Linked DNA regions of Notamacropus eugenii. The protein of the gene in region 1 binds, or shares a complex with, the protein of each later gene. Links are inferred from orthologs where the notes say so. Each region holds a gene or a part of one and is shown in the gene's direction. Other genes may lie near its edges.

Evidence for each region.
Region 2: ITPR1 (region 1) and CNN1 share a complex: the UniProt entries of both Homo sapiens proteins name them as parts of the cGMP kinase signaling complex. The link is inferred for Notamacropus eugenii from reciprocal best matches to the Homo sapiens genes ITPR1 and CNN1.

What each region holds. Positions count from the first base shown.
Region 1 is NC_092874.1:441,491,415-441,499,536, reverse strand, and holds the start of ITPR1 (inositol 1,4,5-trisphosphate-gated calcium channel ITPR1), read left to right. Parts: upstream 1-5,068; 5' UTR 5,069-5,248; intron 5,249-6,089; 5' UTR 6,090-6,165; intron 6,166-8,122. UniProt on the Homo sapiens protein: Inositol 1,4,5-trisphosphate-gated calcium channel that, upon inositol 1,4,5-trisphosphate binding, mediates calcium release from the endoplasmic reticulum (ER).
Region 2 is NC_092875.1:78,383,227-78,390,980, reverse strand, and holds the start of CNN1 (calponin-1), read left to right. Parts: upstream 1-4,617; 5' UTR 4,618-4,731; coding exon 4,732-4,794; intron 4,795-6,875; exon of another isoform or gene 6,876-6,927; intron 6,928-7,754. UniProt on the Homo sapiens protein: Thin filament-associated protein that is implicated in the regulation and modulation of smooth muscle contraction. It is capable of binding to actin, calmodulin and tropomyosin. The interaction of calponin with actin inhibits the actomyosin Mg-ATPase activity.

The sequences.
Region 1 (8,122 bases):
ACACTCTATTCCTATAAACAAATCCACATGGTACAGCTCTGTTGGTTGTTTTTATATAGCTATCTTGAGGTTGCTAGGTAGAGCAGTGGATAGAGGGCTGGGCATGTTCAAATCCAGCCTCAGAAACTTACTAATTGTGTGATGGTGGGCCAGTTACTGAACCTTTGTGTACCTCAGTTTCTTCATCTGTAAAAGGGAGATGATAACGGTATCTATTTCCTAAGGTTGTTGTGAGGAATAAATAGGATAGTATTTCTCAGTCTACTGCCAGTTGTCTTGATTTTTGTCTTTCCACTGAACTTTGATGACTCTAGAAGAGAGAGTGAGGCGGATGACTTTGTGCAAGTCGGCTTCACTTGAATCCAATTCATGCACAAGTCAAGGCAACGTCCCACAATGTCACTGGTCCTCTTTGGAAAGGAAGGACAAACAATAACATCTCAGAGTGCTCTGATTTCACCTTCTTATATTCAATTCAGCAAAGAAATACCAAGGAAATTACAGGTCCCTATCCCCTATACATAAATGTAAGGATATATGTTGTATATCTCTATATATGTAGATATAAGTAAGTATATATGTGTTTATGTATGTATGCATACATACACACACATATGTTATCTCCCTCTATAGAATGTATCATTTTGTATTTTATAGAGGGAGAAACTACGGTCCAGGGAGAAAAAGTTCTTGCCAAGATCATGCAGACAATAAATACCATATGTGACAGGTGTACTGCATACACTAGTAGAAAGGAAATTTAAGGACAAACTGGTATATCGTAGGTGCTTAATAAATGCTTATTGATCATAACCAGTGTGATATGTTTATTGAAGAAAAAGAATTAGTCAAAGACAGCACGTTTTCAAGCAGAGATCCGATGCAGCTAACCATGAAAATAGCAAAGGCACTGAAGATTTGTGTAGCCTTGGGCAAGTTGTTTGACCTCTCTGGGCCTCACTTGTGTCATCTGTAAATTAAGGGGATTACTCTAGATGGCCTGCGGGGTCCTTTTCAACTCTAAATGTCTGAGCCTATGTTCTGTTCTGTAGAATGATTTGACATTATAATTGAGCTGAGTTCCTGGCCTCAGGTAAACAGTATGGCACAGTGAAAAGATCTTGGGTCTCTAGAGTCAAAAGACCTGGATCCAGACTCTACCTCTGATATTCACTATTTGTATTACCTTGGGCAAGTCATTTCACTTCTCTTTCCTATTCTGCAAAATGTGGGGGTTGAGCTAGATCACTTTTGAGTTTGCTTCCATCTCGATCTGTAATCAAGCCCATTATTAGAAGGAAAAGAAAATTTAAAGGGAAAGATTAGCTTGACTTTGAACATGTTATATTTGAGGTGGTTATTACTCATCTAGGAAAAGATGTGCTCAATAGGCAGTTAGAGCATACAGTTCTGGCTAGGGATCAAGGTCTGGGCCAGGTCTGCATCTGTACCCTGTCTCTTGGGTAGCACATTTGATTTTGAGTTGCTGTGGAACATCCAGGTAAAGCTGAGCCACCAGTCATTGGAAATGTGGGTCTGGAGTTCATCACTGGGGTCAGGCTAGGAACCATCTGCATAGGAATCAGAGTGAGGCCCTAGGAATGAATAAGATTGCCAACAGAGAGAGTAGAGGGAGAAAAGGGAAGAGGATCAAAGATGGAGCCTTGGGGGAACAATGATCTTAAAAAGTAAAGGAATTAGCAAAGCGGGGAGAAAGAGCCCAGTCAGATGAATGAGAGGTCTTTGAAACCCAGAAGTAGGTGTTAGCTGCAGTCAGATGCTACAAAGGAGGTCAAGGAAGATGAGGGCCTTTGGCAAAAACTAAAACTTCCTTCTCTTCACAGATTAGGGATGGGCAAAACACTCTCACTCTGATTATATCAGAACGATCTTGGTAGATAAATTTTTTTGGTAGCTGTCAGACTCCAGGGTTAGTGATGTCAAACTGGGCCAATCACTTTTAGGTTGTGACTTGAAAGGTACCAACTGACCCCTTTCTCCCACCCCTGAAATTTCTTCTATCATTCTGCCACTTGCCTGAAATTCTGGCCATTAGAGTAATTTGTTTGGGTTAATGTTTCTCCCCCAAACCCTTACTAAAATGCCTGGAAAGGATGATGCATAAAACTCTTATTGTGGCCTACCATTGCCACCTTTAAAAATAGAGAAGCAGGACCTTAGGTGATGAGACAAGCAAATTCTCACCTGGTGAAGTGATACTAGGGAAGAGAAAGATGAGATATATTTAAGCTCTGGGGACTGCCAAGGAGGGGAAGTATCTAATATAATAATGTGCATGTGATAAGTGTTTAATAAATTTTTGTTGAATTGATTTGGGCTGCAGAGGAGAAGGGATCTAGGTAGGACTGGGGGTGGAAAAGGAGTCTGGTAGCTTGGGGGGGAGCATAGAAGCACCGGGAACTAGGGGGAAAGTTGAAAGAGTGAAGGTAGTTTCAAAAGGAAGGAGGGAATGAAAACAAAAAAGGAAAGGAACATGACAAACTTTGTGGACTTTATAGTTTTTTCTACGATAAAGTGGGCTAGCAGGTGCTTTTTACAAAAATGATGAATGAAGTGTACAGTCAGTCAGTGATGCTGCTTCTCCTTCCCCCGGTCTTCTACTTGTATTTGCAGTGATGTTAAAATCATAGAGGAGCTAGATGGCTACGTGGATAGAGTACTGGGCTTGGAAACAGGAACACTTGAATTCAAATACAGCTTCACACACTTATTAGCTGCGTGATCTTAGGCAAATCACTTAACTTCTATTTGCCTTAATCTACTGGGAAGAAAATGACACATAAGCATCTTTTTCAAGAAAAACCCATAGAGGGTATGGTCCATGGGGTCATGAAGTGTCAAACAGATGCCTAAAACCAACGTGAATTCCATTGAAGCCCTATAACGATGCAATATGGGTAGATTTCTGTTGTTTTTCCTTTGGTTAATCTAAGGTAGTGAGAAAATGACTTGACCAAGCCAACAAACTGATTTAACCTGGAGTGATTTACCAGGTGTCCAAGGCTCAATATAGTGTCCTCCGATGGCATTTAAAGCCTTCCAGAACTCCTCTGACATTTTACAAACTGGTTCCCATTTACCTGTCCAGTCTTACTCTTTATTATTCCCCATGATGCTCCATCATGCCACCAAATTGTCCTTCCTTCTGTCCTTCAGACATGGCACTGTCCTCCCTCTATTCTTGTACTGACTATTTCCCATGTCTGGGATGTACTACCATCCATGGCTTCTTAAAATTTCACTTCTTTCAAAGCTCAGTTCAAGGGCCACCTTTAACAAGAGGCTTTTCTCAATACCCCCTCCCCACGCCACCCCCCCCCAAGTTAATGCCTTAATGCCTCACTCCAAATTGTCTTGCTTTCTATTTACTGCACCGTATGTCCCAAAAGTCTTAGTTCAGCTTTAAACTTTAATAGCTTGGATATGCACTAAGACTTTTGGGACACGGTATTATGTACCTGTATATGTATTGCCTTCGCCATAGAATGGAAGCTCCTTGAGGACAAGGGCTATTTCATTTTTGTCCTTGAATCCCCAGCGTCTAGCGCAGAGCCACGCACATGATAGGAACGTAATAGATTCTTGTTGGTTGACTGATTGGCAGAGGGCACCTTTCGTGGGTGCTATCACCCTGGGGCAGAATGGCCTGCTTTGAAAACAAAACAAATGTGTGTTTTAACAGTTATCAATGCTGAAAGCGAACCCGCAAGCCGCTAGTTTATAGCCCCCTGCTTAGAAGCTTTGGAGGGGGGCAGGAAGTAAGAGGAGGAATGAAGATTAGTCCTCTGGCTCCAAGCTCCTGCCCTCCAGTCTGCTGCTTTGTCAGAGACTTAAAACGACGCTTCGAGTTTAGGTGCTTTCAGGGCTGCATGTCGCCCTCGATGGTTCTGATTTTGTTTGGAATGCTAGTGTTCGCGCTCGTGCGTGTATTCGCTTCCAAATCTCTTCATTAACAAATCGTAACGTTCATTGGTTAGCCCCGGATAATCAAGTTTTCATACCGCCCGCCCCTAGGTAGAAGAGTCCCCAAGGACTCGCCAGTGTGTGCCCGGTGCCCCATGTGCGCCCCTTCCGCGAGGTCCGTCCCGTGTAGACCCCCTCGGATGACCCCCTCAGCCTCCCATGCAAGTCCCATCGCTGACATGCCACTCCAGGGCTGGGGTTTGGGAGTTAAAGGCAACCTTGGGTCTTCATCCTTCAGTCGGAGCTGGCATCCAGCAGTCACTAAGCCCTGGGGATACAGAGAAAAGCAAGACTGACCCCCGCCCCAAACCAACCAACCAACCCAACCAACCCCTCGTTCTCTTTTCCAGGGGAGCGCGCCTTCTAACGGGGGAGCGACTGCACTGGCATTTTTGTGCGTTGGGTGGATTTTTGAAGTTCTTGGCCAGGGTGTATTGGCCCAAACTGGAGTTGACAGCCCATTAAAATGAAACAAAGCAAAAACTTCCCAAAATATAAGTCTAATCCCGGCCCAGAGGCTGCCTAAGAGGCTATCCTTCGAGGGTCTGGGGTGGGGAGGGGCCCGGGAGATTGGAGGCACGCCGCCTCGGACCTTAAGGCTCCCAGCCCAGCCTGCCAGGGCAGGGTCGGGAAACTGTCTGGTTCCTAGAAGACCACACAAAACGACCCTCCCTCGGACCCCGACAAGCCAGAAAGCTCCCACTGCTCTCGCTTCCCCAGAACTCTCCGTTCCCCAGATGCCCCAAAGCCAGGGAGACTATTTGGAACCTCAGCCCGGGAAACCCGAGGCATTCTGGGAATTGTAGTTTTGTTTCACCGCCGGAGGCGCCTGCGAGACCCTTGACTTGGACTACATTGCCCAGGGAGCCACGAGGGGTATATAAGCCGCGGCGAAGCGGAGCCCAAGTGCAGTAACCATGTGGATGTTCTGCTGAACCGTTTCCTGCAACTCACAGGGGTGGGAGGAGGAGGAGGAGGAGGTGGTGGTGGAGGTGGCGGAGGAGAAGAAGAAGAAGGAGGGGGAGGAGGAGAAGCAGCGGCCGGAGGAGGAGCAGAGGGGAGGTGGACGGAGCGAGAGAAAGGCGAGGCACCCGACGGCACGGCACGGGACGGGACGGGACGAGACGCAGGAGGGTGGCGAGCCCGCGTCCATCCTAACGGGACCGAGCTCCAGCTGCGGGGACATGGAATGACAAAGTAGCTGCTAACGCTCTCCGAGCCCGGCTCCCGAAGCGAAGCGGGCACCTCTCCTGGGGGCGACGAGGTACGGTCTCGGGCCGGGGGACAGCGGCCAGCGTGCAGGGAAGTGGCCGAGGGAGACGGAGCAGAACTTTTCTGCTCCGCCCTCCCCGGCGCTCGGGGCTCCGCAGGGTTCGGGGCTGCTGGCACACAGCTGGAGTGCCCTTGTCAGCGATCTGCCCCCCTACCCCCTTGGCATATAGGTCCCCCCTCCGCTAGCCAGAACAACTGGAGGGTTCGGTCCCGCTCCCTCTCCCAGCCCCAAGTTAGGAGCTAGGAACCAGTGGCAGGAAATAGGTCCGGGGGTGAGAGTGTGGAGGGGGCAAGGCAATGCGCGAGTGTATCTCCTTGAGGAAACAATCTTGGGAAAAAAATCCTCCGGCTGCACGCTTTGGGAAAACCCAGGTCTGTGGGGTGCCCGTGGTGCCCGGGTTGGGGGGCTGGGAAAGGTGAAAACGGGGGCCCGAACACATGAGGTTTGGGAACGTAGCCTGTTTGTGTTTGGGAAGCCGGCGGAGGATGCCCAGCATCGCAAAGGATGCCATCCCCTTCTCCTGCAGCAAACAAGTGCTTGGGGATCTGCTCACACTTTTCCCCCTGAACTGTTTGAATATTGCGGAGATGCGAGACCTAGAGTGTTATCTGTCGCCTTTATGGAGTGCGTGCCTGGAACAGAGAAATTCCCTTCAGGTTTTAGATCTGGGCTGAAGCGGAATCGTGGAGGGTCGGAGCAATCAAGTTTGTCGGAGGTCACCTGAGCTAAGAGATCTTTCTTGGTGTCGTCTTGAACAGACACCGCAAGAACTGACATTCTGTGGCCCTTGTAATGAGTCATTTTTCTTCCTTTTTTTTTTTTCTTAACTCAGGCGCCGACCCAGTGGAGCAGGAGCCGCACCACCCCAGGTTGGGTGTTCTGTAGATACTGCTGGCTTACTGTGACAGGTGAGTGCAATTAGTAATGAGCTTTGCTTCCTAACTGCCCCCTGGCCCTTAAAGCTGTTAGAAATGGGATGAAGGAGGAGAAAAGACTGTGGGGCTTAGGCTGGTATTGACTGTTCACCTTGCTGACAGTTGTGTGGAGCACACTCATGGCATGGGGTAGTTGAGTTGCCTTAGGGAATCAATCACTACTCCAGCACCCAGAGTCACAATTGCAGTGGGCAAATCAAAGATCTGTAAGAAGGTAGAAGGCATTAAATGGAGGAAGAAAAGAAAATCTGACTTGTTAGGTGGTGTGCATGTGATTTAAATTTTCAAAGTTATACTGTGTTTCATCTGCCAAACATATAAGCAAAATTAACTGCCTCAAAAATAACTTTCTACCAAGTGAATATGTGCTTGTCAGTTTAGGATTGGATGGGAAGAAAGGATTGTCTTTGGGTAAATGAAATAATCACAGCTGATTGGGTTTGTTTATTTATATTGTAAAACTATGTCAAATCTAGACATGAAGGGGAAAATATCAGCACTCAGCAGATGGCCTGAAGCCAAGCACATGTCAAAGGATTCAATAAGTTAATGCTGTTGTAGTGCCTGCTGTGGGATGTGAGTTGGGGCCAGGGTTTCTGCTATAAACACAGGCCCGCCAGCTTTTCCAGATTGGCTTGAGATGCGTTAGTGGAGGGAGGCTCATACTGTGTACATACATCCATACAACTGTAAGCTTGCCCATCTGAAGTTTTCTTCTTAAATGGTCAAAAAACAGGGCCACAGGGGGTGGATGGGTCTTGGTAACTCATGTAACAGTCTAAATATTTAGCTGTTCCCTGGGCTACAGTCTTTGGGTTTTTCTAATTTGAAAAGAAAAAAAAAATCAGACACTTCATTAAAGAGGTGTAGCGCTTTTGTTTCCTGTTGATAAAATTCTCCAGAGTGCTAAAGGAGTGGGAAGCATTTGTAATCTATTCATCTGTATTTGTGGAGAGACTGGGCCCATTAATTCATGTGGTGCTAATGAGGTTAAAGCTGGGAGTTCCATCCCCTTCCTGACCAGTTAGCTCTGTACTGAGCAGAGCAGCTTCATAGCCACGGATTGGCCCTCCCTCTAGGACCACAATGCTTCTCAGATGCCTGTTTTTGGGTCAGAGATAAGGACATGCCAACAAATTCTCTCTATCATATGCTCCATATCCTACCTGTTTATAAGAGCCATATATTTTTGGTTTCTTCAGGGACTAGAATTTTCTGGGATGGTTTCTTGCTTTCTGAAATCAAAGGAAGTTGCTTGGGGTTGTGACAAAGAATGCTGGATGGAGAATTACAAGGGCTCAGGTTCCCCAGATCCTGGTTCTGCTTCTTATTTGTTGCCTATGTAGGTAAATCTCATAGGCTCTCTATACTTCCATATCCTCATCTGTAAACAGGGATAGGGGCTTCACTAATGACCCCTGAAGCTTCTTCTTCTTCTATGCCTGTGTGATCCTGTGATCCTATGCAGATTGAGTGTAACATTATTATCAGAAAACCTGGGAGAATTTCAAAATTTGTCACCTAGAGGATGGATCACTAGGGCCTGCTTGGTCTGTCCAGGTTGCAATCTCAAGAAGAGATGCGTGATTTGGGAAGAAAGCACTGGGCTTGTTAGGAAGCAGTATGGGTCTTTTACTATGAAGTTTTGGATTTAAAAGTCTGAGAATATAATAACTGGTTTCAGCTTAATTCTTTGAACCACTTTCAAAGTGAGATACCATCTTCTGCTAAGTGTTTGCAGGCAAAAGCAAGTGATCATCATAATAAATGGCTAATATCCTATAGTGCTTTAAAGTTTGCAGAATGCTTCCCATGAGACTAGAACATATCATCATTTATTCGTTCATTTTGCAAATACTGTGAGTTCCAGTTCTAACTCACCGTAGGACCTTGACAAATTCGAGTCCCTTTTGTTGGCTTGATTGTCTTT
Region 2 (7,754 bases), on another chromosome or scaffold:
AGGGCCACAAGGGATAAAAGGGGTCACATATTTAGCATCTCCTATGTGTAAGACATAGTGCTAGGAGCTAGAAACACCAATGCAGGGAGTTGATAAAGGAAATTTTTAACCAAGATGAACTTTTCAACTTCTTGATTGCATTTTTCTAGAAAGAGTGAAGAATATATCCACTGGAACTTTGTTGAGAACGCTAAATTCAACTGATTAAGTCTGCAAGGCTCGGCCTACTTCCATGAAGACTTCATTGGTTTGATGAAGGATCTGTTTAATTGATGGGGAATGACACTGTGACAGATTAGTTCTGCCTGGAGCAATTAGACTCTTATGGGAAGATCCTTAAAAGATAGTCATCACACCTCTTTTCCTTCCCTTTTCTTCTGGGACGTTCTGGAAAGCACAATAGTTGCTACCTAAGAGCAGCTTTGCAGAAGCACATGGCAAGGCAGACATATTCTTGCCTGAGTAGCCTGAAAGGGAAGTTCCCAGATCAAGTTGTTTCTGGACCTTTGCCTTTAGTTGTAGAAGGTGGGGGGGCGGGGAGGGGAATTTCACAGGCATAATTCAGAAATCTGTCCTAGCCAGAGAAGAGAGATTTCCTGGGCAATACCAGTATTAGAGGTTACCTTTGCAGCAAACCCAAGCATAAGAAGAGTCCTAGAATCTAGCCTTAAGACAGAGCCTTAGAGACAGAGAAGAGGATCATGAATCTGGCTACTGGTACTGGGCAGAACAGTGGCAAGGGACCAAAAGCCACAATATAGAGGACCAAAGGGCCTGGAATTTGTACTCTGCTATTAAAGGTAGCTATGCAGACAGTGAAGGTCATCTGGAAAGTCAAGTGATCCAACAGCACCAAATTTCCCTTCCAGGGGGAATAGTCTAAGACTACTAGGTCCAGAAAAAAATCTACACAGAAAGCAAAGATGGTCCAATGAATCTGGGGAGCTAGGGGAAGGATAATACATTCTCTCCTGTGGGAAGAGGGACACACCTGAATATTGTAGGGTAACCCCACCAGGGACCTCAACTAAATATTCCTTTGGAGTCTAAACCACAGGCAGGAGCTTCTGGTATGGAGGAATTTAGGACCCTGGTGGAAAAAAATTCTTTTGATAGTTTATGAGCTATTATGAGTGGTTTAATGTGTGTTCTGAACTTGTTTATGGGCTCCTGAGTCCTTTGTATTCTCTGCATTCTGCATGTCTTATTGAGGGATAAAATAAAGACTACTCTACACTGGTTAAATGCATTTGCCACCTTTAATACTTGTAGGGGATCTGAGGAGCCTTTTATATACCATTTGTAGACCTAAATGGTATTCAGAGATTTCCTGGAGTAAACTCTGGGAAAAGGAGAATATTTGGGCCAGGCCCCAAGATCAGACCAAGTCTGTTTAAAGAGATTGGGGGTAGGGGAAGGGTCCTGGAGGGGACACAACTATAAATATTACTTAGACTCTGCTTTTGAGGAGCTTACACGGGTTCTGGGTTCAAATAGTGACATTGCTACTTGCAAACTAGGTGATCTTGCTGCAAGACAACTAAACTCTTAAGAGATAGAGAATGGGTCTTAGAGTCAGGAAAGACCTGGATTCCAGTCCAGTCTTAGACCAGCTGTGTGGTCATAGGTGAATCTGTTAACCTTTTGGTGACCCTCTTAGACGGTAAGTAGGGGATGAATTGCAGACCTCTATCAATGGGAGAAGTTTCCATACTGACAGTTTCCTATCACAGTGAAATCACAGGTCCAGACTAAAACAAACAAATAAACAAACCAAAAAAAGAAATGAAACTGAAGGGATCAGACTATGTTATGTGATTGCTAAGGTCCCTTGCAGTTTTAAAAATTATGAGTTGGACAACATAAATATCACACATGTCAACAGAGAGAGGTGAAGAAGAATTTAAAGTTAGATAAAATTTCAAATAGAAAAAAAATTAGAGCTCATTCCCCAACTAGAATATAAGCTCTCTGAGGCCAGGAACTTGTTTCCATTTTGAATTGGTGTCCCCAGGTCCTACCATAGTGCCCTTCACAAATAAATGCTTGTTGGATCATTTTGCAGGTGGAGAAACTGAGGCCCAGAGAGAGGTTAGGTGACTCGTCTATCCTCAAGCCATAAAGGTAATGAAGTAAGTAGCTTACAGTTCTAGACTTGGGGGCAAGGCCTGGGCCCTTCTAGCTGGTCTGATCTGTGACCCCAGCTTGTCACCTCTTTCTTTCTCCTTGCCTGGGAACAATGTAATGAGCCCTTTTAGAACCAAAGACAAGAGGGATGTGTGTGTGTGTGTGTGTTTGCCCATTCATCGCTTTATAAAGAGATGATAAAACCTCTTACTCCATGACAGGGTGACCACCTGTTCCTTAGTGGGGGTGGTATGGAAGTGACAATGCCTATTGCTGAAGGAGGGTCATTACTCAGATGTTCTAAATGTACATTGATGGTGAATCACTCCAACCTTCCCAGCATCCCACTCCCCATTATCATAACTGGAAGCACTTAGCACTCTTCTCCCTTCCTATCAGTCATCTTCCCATTGTACCAAAAAGAAAACAGGTGGAGAGGGAGGCTTGTGAACATCTACAAAAGACCTCTCATCCTACCCACCAATTAGGGCTGTCTTCCAGGTTTTCTAACATGGCCTCTATACCCAGTGTTCATAGAGCTTTATCAGATTATGCTGAAATCCCTAAACCCCCCTCCACTAATCCTCATTAAAGATGAAGACCGATTGGGAGGCAAGGGAATCCACAATCATGGTAGAAGAAGAGACAATTTTGTCCTGGGGTTGGGGGCCTTGGTTTCCCTGAGGGGGGGTGGACACTCTGGAGGGCCTCAAAGTGGGCCTTTCCAGGGGTAGTGGCAGTAGGGGCCTCAAGGGATCACATCCTCCAAGCCAGGCTGATGGTGACTTCAGAGCTGAAGAGGTCCATTCTATAAATGGTGAAGCATACAACAAAAAGAAGAGAGGGAGGAGAGGATGGCCCACAGCCCTGACGCTGACGCTGTGTTAGTCACCCACAGACATCATGTCCAAGGGATTTAGATTGAATAGCCTTTTACCCTGGTACACGATCCAAGTTCCTTCCTTCGGCTCATTCTCATTCTTTTGCACAGTACTAAGAGTTGGGAGTGGCCTTAGAGATAATTTAGTGACCTCACCTAGGGATTCCTCACCTAGGATTCCCTGGACTTGTTTTTAGATATTTTGAGAAATGTTTTCCAATAGGATTTAGCTTGCTTTGTAGCCCTACGTACTTGTTTTATGCATTTCAAAACAGGATTTTTAGAAGAGGTCCACACACAGGCTTCACCAGACTGCCAAGGGGGTCCATGACTCACAAAAAAGCTAAGAACCCTATTTTAGTCCAACTATTTCATTTACAGATGGAAAAACTAAGGCTAAAGGAGGTAACACGCCCCAAGTCTCATGCTTAATCAGTGCCAGAGCTGGGATTTGGATGGAGACCAACTCCAAATTCAGGGTTCTTCCTACTGTACCCCACTACTCTCCCTTGGTGATCCCTTTGGAGGGAAAGTTCCCTCTCCTTGTTCTGAACACTCATGGCTTCCCATCCCCCCTTCTCCAATGCAAGGGCAGGATTCCCAGAAGGGGAGAAAAGCTGCCCAAGGGGAAAAAAACCACAAGTGTTTCTGCAGAAAAAGGAGAGCCTTATAAGGTGGAGGGGGGACCACATAAAGTCCCCTCCCCATCCCATCTCCCAGGGTGCTGAAAGCTTCCAGGAAGCCTGAGGGGGACCCAAGACTCAGAAGCCAAATTGGCCCTAAAGAGCCTGGGTCTTGACTTGGGCCAATTACTCCCCTATTCTCCCCCTTACCCTTTCTGCTGATCCACAGATGCCCAGGAATTGAAGGCAATGATGGGAAGGTCTTAGTCCTCGAACCCCAAAGGGTGGAGGATGAATAAAAGGAGGAAAGGGACAGAAAGAGAATCAGGAGAAAACAGGGATTGAGAGAGATATAAACTCATCAACTAAGACAAAGCTTCTAGAACGCAGGAAAGATGTTGAATAGGTGCTTAATAAATTCGGGTGGGACTTAACTGCCCCAGAGACAGTCTTTGACAGCGTTTATCTCTGAGTTCATCTCTGTCTCTCACTATAAAGTGACCTCCATCTCTGGAACGGTCACAGAGAGAGACAAATAGACACAGAAACCCAGTACAGAGTGCCAGACATGGGCAATCCATAGGGTTAACCCAGCCTATGGGGGGGATGGTGCCTGTTGTCTCAGACTGTCCCTGTCCCCAGCCCTATTCCCGTCTCCAAATGGCTAGGTCCTCCCCAGGAATTCTCAGCTGGTTACTCTTCCACACTCCCCCCACCCCCCTTTCTGGGCTAAGAATGACTATAGCCGGGCCTCCCCTCCCCTCCAACATCCCTCCCCCCACCAAGGTGGAAACAATGACTGCATCGGCTCCCAATACCAGGGGCCTGACATCACGGGGTTGGGGGAGGGGGGTGGGGTGGGGGAGGGGGGACTGGCTGACGTGGGGGAAGGGGAGGGGGGGATTGCTTCTCAGCCATTGGTGGGTCCTCTGGCCCAATGAGACAACCAGCCAGGGCTCATATGGGGAAGCCCAGAGTTCCAGCTTTCAAAAAGTTGCAGGGAAAATTTGAGGCCACTTCAGCAGCAGCAGCAGCAGCAGCAGACAGGCACCAGGAGAAACCCAGGCCAGGCTCCCCTCCACCGGCAGCAGCACCACCAGGATGTCTACTGCTCACTTCAACCGGGGCCCTGCTTATGGACTGTCGGCTGAGGTCAAGAACAAGGTAATTACCTTAACTCTATCATCTCGCTCAGTTTACCCAGGGTAGGATTCTTAGTCCTTAGCCTCCAAGGGAGAAATGTCATGTCCCAGGCCCACCTCCTGCCTTCCAGGCTCTGAGTTTCTTCCTCCTCCTTCAGTACTCCCCAGCCCCATCACTCGCTCTGGTTCTAGGCACCTGGAGGGAAGGATAATAAGGAGACTAATCCAGGGAGCCAGGCCTAGACCAGGGAACGAGGGCCACTGTCCTGAAGACCAAATGAGGGTCATTCTTGTCCAGCTCAAGCCCTGGATCTTTCTACCCACACCCAAATGAACTACCCGCACCATTCACTAGCTTCTGAAGTTTCTGGTCCAAAACCTGCCAGTGAGGAGTAATGGGGGCTCCCCAACAGTGATGAGATCTGAGTGAGACGAAGAGGAGAGGAAAGGAGAGGGTTTGGAAGGTGGAAGGGACAAGATGGAAGATGGAGGGGTGGAAGGGTCAGGGGAGAAGGATTGGAGGGGAAGGAGAAAGGGCAGAATGGGCAGAGGGGAACAGGAGACAGAGATTGAAGGGTCAAAGGCCTAGGCGTCGAAGGACTGGAGCAGGAAAAGGGTGCAGGGGAGAGGGCCAGAGTCTGGAGAAAGAAAGTTTGGATGGGCAGTAAGAAGGAGGGGATAGAGAAGAGAGGTTAGTGGAACAGGAAGTCCAAGACATGTCTGAGGGGTCTAGGTTGTGGGGTGGGTCCTGGTGCCTGAGGGAGAGAGGGCCTCAGCTGAGTAGGCCTTTTGAGGGAGTCCGGATTTGCTCAAACACCAATCTCATAACACTCCTCTTGGGAATATCTCCTCCCTAGAAGCCCTTACCCCCTGAGGACAGGATTTTGTGCCCTACTTTGTACCCTGTAGTTCAGCTTTTCACACCCATTCTCTTGTATAAGGTTAATCTTAAAGAGTATGGTGGGTGAAAGAAGGAAGAAGGGGATAGATTCCCCATGGGAGGAGAGGTACCAAACAACTAATGGTCCAGGAGAGGCAGGATCCTTTCCCTCAGCATCCCCCATCAGCCCCAGCTGAGGGCATCCCTCAGCTCCAGGGCCACCTGCAGGGAGATGCCTTGACCAGTAACTGAGAAATTTTAACTCTTCCACTATCCCTCATCAGACAGATATTAAGTCCTGGACCCCCGAACCCCAACATGGGGAGCAAAGCTGAATCTCAGAGGTTCTGAGTGACAATGAAAAGGCAAGAAGATATTAGGAGGCATTGGGACTATTTGGATACTTGGTTCTGAACTGTTATCATGAACTCTTCTAGAGCTCTGGGTTAGAAAACTCCCAAGGAGGTAGATCACCTTGTCACCTGCTTGAGCTTTTCCTGTTCTGGACTCCCAGGAGAACAGACTGGCTATGTTTTTGATGACAGGTGGCTGGGAATACCCAGAAAGGCCAACCTGTTGATAATGATGGCTAGCAGGAATCATCTCCACCCCATCCCCCAACAAGAGAACATGGGAGGCTTAAGAAGTTCAGACTGACTTCCAATCATTGTAGACTCCTGTTTATCCTCCAAATCCCCCAGGAACCTTTCTTCCTGGGTCTCAAATAACCTCACAGAGCAGCACTCTTCCTGATAGCCCCTGTCTCCTTTTCTGATGGAAAAGCTCAGTTCTTTGGAGAAAGAAACTTGGATGGGGGGAGGAGGATTGATCTTGGCTGGTGGGGCTGATGTCTTAGCTGGGTGGGAGAATTTTAAAATCCCAGACCAGCAGGAAAGGATCTTAGAAATTATTTTGTCTAAACTTCCTCCCTTCTCAGACAAGAAAACGGAGATTCCCCAGGGAATAAGGGGTCTTCCCCCCTCCCCCTCTCTTCCCTGTATAACAGAATTGGGAGAGAGGGGGAGGGGGGAGAACTTGGACTGCCCATCCCCCACTGGGACCCAGCTCCAGACTACCCCCTCTCTCCCTGGAGCACCCGGCAGAGCAGCCTCTCCATATAAGGATGCTCTGGGGGAAGCTGGGCAGGGAGGCCCAAGCTCTATATAAGGGCTGGTTTGCTTTATAAAGCAAACCGGAGCTGGAGGAGAAGTGGGGGCTGGGGGACCAGAGGGAGGGGCCGTTGTACAGGCTGGCAACGGATGCTCCTCAGGCCAGGTGAGTAGGAAGAATGGAGAGCTAGGCCCCTCCCCTCTTGTGGGAATCTGGCCCAATCCTTCCTCCCCCTCCTCCTTACCCCACTGCCCTGCCAGGGGCAGATCAGGCACTGGGCACCCCCTGCTGGCATGTTGGAGACTAAGGGGGCAGTGCTCAGGGCAGGCTTTCTACTTCCAACCCTCTTACTCCCTCTATCCAGGTCCAGAAGCCTTGGGGGAGGACCTGGGAGGTTAGTGGCCAAAGTGGGTGTTGAGATAGCCAGAGGACTTGTTTAGCCTAGTGAGATCATGATGGCACCATGTCTACATACTCTGTCTGTTAGTCTCTCTCTCTCTCACACACACACACACAAACACACACACACACACACACAAACACACCTCAAAACCCAGCATTGCCATAGGATCACCTGTCTTAGAAGCTATCAGCCATCTATGGAATTCCTGGTTGAAAGACTGGAAATGACTTCTCAGGATCTTCTCAACTCTGAGATCCGGAGATGTAGTTACAGAGGACTGGAGATGGAGAAGGTAGAGAAAAACAAGCCCCAGAAAGATGGCCAGACACATAGCTATCCTTGCATACTAACACACACACACACAGAGAGAACCCTAGGGAGAGACAGGGAAAGAGGAATGGGAAGGCTGCAGAATTAGGACATGCACAGTGAAACCCAGTGGTTGGTATGACCTCAAATGATGCTTCTGTGCTCAGGCCTTCTGCATTAGGTCCTCTGTCAAGACCCATGCTCAAGAAGGGATGAGAAGGGAAGAATCAGGGAATAGGGGCACTCAAGTTTGGTTAAGGGGATTGAAAGAATAACTTCC